2 linked regions of the Sus scrofa genome follow. The protein of the gene in region 2 purifies or fractionates together with the protein of the main gene of each other region. This does not show direct contact. Links are inferred from orthologs where the notes say so. Each region holds a gene or a part of one and is shown on either strand. Other genes may lie near its edges. The genes, in order: PHLPP1 and USP12.

Evidence for each region.
Region 1: the proteins of USP12 (region 2) and PHLPP1 purify together in Homo sapiens (affinity purification with mass spectrometry; 4 studies listed by BioGRID and IntAct, with this or other methods). This does not show direct contact. The link is inferred for Sus scrofa from reciprocal best matches to the Homo sapiens genes USP12 and PHLPP1.

The regions. Positions count from the first base shown.
Region 1 is NC_010443.5:158,647,101-158,650,923, reverse strand, and holds part of PHLPP1 (PH domain leucine-rich repeat-containing protein phosphatase 1), read left to right. Parts: coding exon 1-117; intron 118-2,950; coding exon 2,951-3,179; intron 3,180-3,823. UniProt on the Homo sapiens protein: Protein phosphatase involved in regulation of Akt and PKC signaling.
Region 2 is NC_010453.5:4,614,058-4,616,889, forward strand, and holds part of USP12 (ubiquitin carboxyl-terminal hydrolase 12), read right to left. Parts: intron 2,403-2,832; coding exon 2,324-2,402; intron 1,334-2,323; coding exon 1,232-1,333; 3' UTR 1-1,231. UniProt on the Homo sapiens protein: Deubiquitinating enzyme that plays various roles in the regulation of the immune response and inflammation.

The sequences.
Region 1 (3,823 bases), on a different chromosome or scaffold from region 2:
GAATGTGGAGGTGCCCTACCTTCTCCAGTGCACTATGAGTGACATTTTGGCAGAAGAGCTGCAGAAAACAAAAAACGAAGAAGAATACATGGTCAATACGTTCATTGTTATGCAAAGGTAAGACTTAAAATACTGCTGTGTGTTTTCTTGCTCTTTTTGAGTGCTTGCCATCTGGTTAGAAAAACAAGTGCCCAGTAATGTCAAAGCATCTTGTTGAATCTGGGTTTTTTGAGGTGCCTTCAGGCAGTTTGGTTTTGCCCAGGCATCAGGGCTAGACTGTATACTGTTCGAGACATACTGATGTTCAGACAACTTTGTAGGAGGCCGAATCAGTAATAGGAATTCAGTTTCTTTTTTTTTTTTTTTTTTTTTTTTTTTTTTTTTTTTTTTTTTTTTTTTTTTTTTGTCTTTTTGCTGTTGTTGTTGTTGCTATTTCTTGGGCCGCTCCCACGGCATATGGAGGTTCCCAGGCTAGGGGTTGAATCGGAGCTGTAGCCACCGGCCTACGCCAGAGCCACAGCAACGCGGGATCCGAGCCGTGTCTGCAACCTACACCACAGCTCACGGCAACGCCAGATCGTTAACCCACTGAGCAAGGGCAGGGACCGAACCCGCAACCTCATGGTTCCTAGTCGGATTCGTTAACCACTGTGCCACGACGGGAACTCCCAGGAATTCAGTTTCTCCTAGACCTGGGTCTCATGAGCCTGTCGTGATTCCAGATTTTCACTAGATTTTTTTGTGACACACTCCTCTTCCCCCAAATCACTTGTGCTCCAGATGCTCTCTAGACCTCCTGGTGTGTGGACTTCTCTTTGAAATGGACTGTTTCCACCTCAGTTTGTTCCTCCACATGAAATAGCATCACTGATTCGAGAAGCATCAACCTTTGTGAACTCGAGGTGGTCACATTTGAGGCCAGGAGTTAAATGATTCTTTATATATTGTTTTTTTCCCCTTATTAAATGTTCATGACAATTTTAATAGTAGAATCCTAGCCCATTCCCTGGAGTTTCTGGTCACTGTGGAAGTCGTGGAATGTTGTTTGTAACTGAGGGCTGAATGTTATGAGCATTCCCTCATTATAAGAATTGCTCGCTCTTTTGTCACTTTAAAGGCTTTGTAGGTTGTCAAGGAATTGCCTATTAATATTGTGCTTCAGACACTCTCCAGGAAGCGGAGAGTGCTCTAAAGGTCATGGGAACAATGACGATCTGTTCTCTTTCTCTCCTTTTTTCTCTCCCTTCATAATCTGCCAGAGGAAGTATCTTTACAACAGGGGTAGAGAAAAAAAATCAGATAAGGAATGCTGGTCCTGAGAAACCTCAAAAGTTCCCCTAAGTCATAAATACTCAGTAGAGGCAGGCCCAGTGAAGTTCTTTGCTGCTTGACTCACATGTCTTTTAGATTCTCATGTGCAGTTGATAATTGATGCTGACAATAGCTGATATTTAGTGAGCCCTTAAATGTACCAGTCATTTTTCTAAATATATTAGTGCCATAAATTGTACCCAGTGAGATAGAATATTACTACTCTTATTTTACTGATGAGAAACTGAGGTACAGGGAGGGGAAACAGCTTGCTCTAAGAGCTAGTAGACGGTGCAGCCAGAATTTGATTCCTGAGAATATTCTACCTATCAGCCATATCTGCTTTTCTTTTGGACCACCATCTTGTTTTAGGAAAAAAGCAAACACATATCATACACACAGACCACACACCGTACACACACACCCCTAAGAAGTATACTCTTTATAGACCCTCAAGCGCTAGATAAGAATTAAGAACTTAAGAACATCAAACTCTGATTCCTTTTGACAAGTACCATCCTATTTTTGGCTTTTCTGAGAGAAACCATTGTGCCTTTGACAGGAAGAAAGCGCTGCCTTGGCAGGGCCTAAAGCCTAATCTGGCCATAGATGTGCGGAAGTTGGATTTTAGAGGCCCAGATTGTCAGCCTACCTCGAGGTCTTTTGTCTGCCTCTTGTTTTCCCTATTGGCTGTTAGGACATGGGATGTGTGGTGATCTTTTCAGTCCTCAGGAAAACTGTCTGTTCTTTGTGCATGACATCCTAATGCATGTGAACAGGCAGCCCTGGTTTCCATTGCTGTGTTCTTCTTGCCTCACCTGGACATGATGGCAGCTGACAGGACCTGCAGATCTGCCCTTGTAAACAGAGGAGTCTGTCTCTCTGAATCTTTTGGCCCCCGTACCACTCAGGACCAGTCTGGGAGGCACTGCCATCCGTGGGCCTTGGGATAGGAATTCTTAGCTCCTTTTGATTATTGGAACTTGCAGGTACATTGTGTATCTAGTAAGTGTATGGACTAATGGGGAGTAAAAGCTCTTTGGAGCTTGATTACTAGAATGTCTCTTCCATGAATGTTCATCCATGAATAGACATCACTTGTCCAGAAAGTCTTTGCTGTATAGGACAAGTACATGAATGGTCCAGTACTTGAAAGCTCAAACCAGCAAACATCCTGATAAAGAGAACGGTGATCAGGACATTCTGAAGTGTCAGTGGGTGTAATGTGTCATACCTGCCTCTGTGAAGTTGTCCCTCCAGCTGTCCTCTCAGCAGCAGAAGGGCTTTGAGAGGTGGGTAGGGAAGGAAGCAGTCATCCCTGCTGTCTTTAGGGTGCCCTGACACAGGAGTAGCAGGCTGGATGCAGCAGGAAAAGGGCTCCTTTATCCACGTCAGCTCCTAGGGCTTTAGTGGTAAAGTTGACACTCACCCCACTTGTGAGCAGACACCTCTCTGTGTACATGTGTGTGTGTCAGATTCCGCAGGCTCCTTTCCTAAGTTGAGCAGTGCCCACTTCAGTGAAAGGGGCCAAGTGGAACCCCAAGTTCTGTTTTTCTTCCTAGCGTCATCCAGGGGCAGAGTCTGGCACAATGACACATGACAGCTGTGTGTGGGTTTTTGCCCTCTCTTCATACCCTAGGAAGCTTGGAACTGCTGGGCAGAAACTTGGAGGTGCTGCTGTCCTGTGTCATATCAAGCATGATCCTGTGGACCCAGGAGGACCCTTCACCTTGACCTCTGCTAACGTGGGCAAGTGTCAAACAGTTCTCTGTCGGAATGGGAAGCCGCTGCCTCTGTCCAGATCGTATCTCATGAGCTCTGAGGAAGAACTGAAGAGAATCAAGCGGCACAAGGCCATTATCACTGAGGTGAGGAAGAGCAGTTTTCCTCAGGATCAGGGAGGACAGGGCCAGGTTGTGGCAGAAACCAGCCGGGGAGCATTTCCCTCTAAAGAACATTCTTTAAACACTGAAGTTGATTTAAAATTAAAATTCCAAATCCATAGTGTCACAGAGCACACTCTGTGTGTGATATGTCTGAAGACATTATAATGTGCAGAATAATAAAGCACTTATCGATGGCCTCCTCGGGTCAGGGGCCTATGCCAGGTTCATGCCACTGCACCATCTGAACCTCACAGCTGCTCTGGTGGCTGAGGTTTCTAGCCCTGAAGTCACGCTGCTGGTCCTCCTATGCTTGCTCTGGCGCTTGTGGGCTGCAACCTTTAAACCTCTACGCCTGTCTCCTCATCTGTGAAGTGGGAATAGTGATGTATCTGGCCTGTCTTAACAAAGCTGGGGTGTGTCAGTGTAGCCAGTTATTATTTTGGTTCACACCTCATGCTCCACTTGAGTAAGTGATTCTCAACCAGGGGCCATTTCCACCCCAGAGATAGTTGGTAACATCTGAGTACAACTGCACTTCACAACTGGGGTGGAGAGTGGGTAGAAGCCAGGGGTGCTGTTGAATATCCTGCAGCGCACAGGACAGCCCCATGACAAGGAGTTATTTG
Region 2 (2,832 bases):
GTCAAGGCGGAAGGGGAGCGGGGACTCGCGGGCGCGGGCTCCCGGGTGTGGTCCTCGCCCGATGCCCCGCTCCCCGGGCGCTGGGCCGGGAGGGATCACTTCCTGCGGGATGACCGACCCCCGGAAGCGACGGAACTGCTAGGACAGGGATGGGGACGGGGACTTCGCAGACACGGCCCCGACCCGAGGGATTCTCGGACCCGCACGCCACCACTGCCCGCGCTCTCGTCCATCCTGCCACAACCACACCGAGATTCTGACAGTCCTTTATTTTCCTGAAAGTAAAGCTGAATCAGATGACTGACTTTACAACGAGGACGAATGTGTAGCCGAGATATCAGTTCCTCCTGAAAAAAAGAGTATCTACCTCCTCTCACTGCAATGGGTCTTAAGGTAACTTACGATTTAGAATAGTTTAAAATTCACCTTAAAAATAGGAACAAACAAAAGGATTAGTTAAACCGACGAAAACTAATAAAAATATGCTCCAAGTCACTGGCAGAATCATGGGCACTTCATACAACACTTGGACTCTACCAGTTTTAAGGAAAATAAATAAGGAAACCAAGTATAATTACAAAGCCAGTCTTTCCCCTTGGGGAAACAAAAAGCCGCTTTTGACCAATTGTTCCCTAGATATACATATACTGTATATGATTAAAAGCTTCTTCAGAGAAGCAAACATATTTGTCTTCCTGACACTGGATTCTAGCATCTGTTAGTTTCTTTACATCAGGAAGGCGACTGCAAATGTTGGGCCCAAAAGTGTTTCTGGTTTACACTTGGAAAGACCACCCAGGATTCCTTCTCAAGGGGTTCGACCCAGCCAGGCGGATGCGGTGTGCTCAATGCTGCCCCCGCGGCCTCCGGCCAACCTCACACGGACTCCTATGCTTTCTACTGCACCCCCGAGGAGTTCAACCACGACGGGTGCCACGGAGGAGGAGAAGATGCGTGTCAATTACTGGAAGGCTGCTGGACAAGAGGAGCTGGTACCTCTGCTCTCGCTTCGTGTGCAGCTGCGCAGACAGTGTGATACCTGAGCAAACCCAGCGACCGCCAGGACGGGAAGAGCATGTCCATCCACGGTCTTTGCTTTATTGTGTGCAAAGGGCGCCACTGCCCCCAGAGCTCCCTGCATTCGCTTCTCTCGTCTTGGGAACATCCGTGCTTGATCCTTGCCCAAACGACCAGAGAAGACATGAGGCAGAAAGTCTCCGTGACGCTTCCCTCAGTCCCGAGACTGGTAGAAAAGGATGTAGCCAGACTCCGAGTTCTTGGAGATATCGGATGTCAACCCGTAGAATTCTTCAATAGCTTGTGCATCTATTTTCTTCGAGGCAAAGCATAAACATTAGGACAAGAATGAGTTCTCCGAACTGCTTAAACTGAGCAAAATCCTCAACATTTCTTAGAATAAGGCCTTTCCTCTTATGATTTTTTTTTTTTTTTTTTTTTTTTTTTTGTCTTTTTAGGGCCACACCCTATGTGGCATATGGAGGTTCTCAGGCTCGGGGTGGAATCAGAGCTGCAGCCGTTGGTCTACGCCACAGCCATAGCAATGCGGGATCCGAGCAGCATCTGCGACCTACACCACAGCTGACTCTGGATCCTTAACCCACTGAGCCAGGATGGGCACTCCAGAAAATACACTGTTTTGTCATCTGGATGGCAGCTGTGTGTTGTGTGTGTACATATATGTATGCATTCACGTGTAAAAATTTAAATTGTTGCTTAAGATTGGCATTCTCTACTGTATGTAGGTTACAGCTCAGAAATGATTTATACATTCTGTCTTTCTAGGGCCGCACCTGCAGCATATGGAGGTTCCCAGGCTAGGGGTTCATTCGGAGCTGTAGCCACCGGCCTACTCCACAGCCACAGCCACACCAGATCCAAGCTGCCTCTGCGACCTACACCACAGCTCATGGCAATGCCGGATCCTTAACCCACTGAGTGAGGCCGGGGATCGAACCTGCGTCTTTATGGATTCTAGTCAGATTCATTTCTGCTGAGCCACAACGGGAACCCGCCTCAAAAATTCTTTTTTAATAGTTTAAGTTTTTCTAAAAAAAAAAACTACCTCTGCTGTTAAAAGATTTCCCTTGTTTTTGATCCTGAACATTTTAAAGGTTCGCCAACTATTCCAGCACTGGAACTGGCTATTAGGGAGTAAGAAGTAGGAGTCAGACCACGATCTGAACTCGGATATTTGTCTGACATTCATCACCCGTATATACAAATAAGAAGCTGGGAGACAAACATGAAGAGCAAAATATATACACGATTTTGAAGAAAAACACGAAATTCGGAAACGACTTACTTCTACAATGTCGTCATCAAACAACAACCAAAAATCGTGACTCTTAACTATTGCAATATAATGGCCTCGATTGGGACCACTAAAACAGAGAGAAAGAGAAGTTAATTTTATTCGACGTTTATTAATATCATCCCTCCGTGCCCCAAATTTCATGTTCTATAAAGCAGAGCAACTCAAACAGATAAAAATACTCCTTACCTATCCTTCCCCCCAAAGATCAGGCTGCACTGATTTGAACTGGCATTCAATTTTAAAAGCAAGTAATTAGTTCTCTGAGACATATAACCAGTTAGTCCACTTGTATAAAGGTGTACTATTAAAATTCTTTGTTACCTTTTTAAATTATGTTTTAAGTTAATTTCAAATTTGCTTCTATGAAAAATTTTAATAAAATTTTGCAGCATTTGGGGATGGAGGGGATAAGAGAGGCAATCACAGCCAGAACATGCTGAACTGAATACACAACAATGCATATTTTCGAGCCTTACTCCCTTGGCAATAGTTTCCTC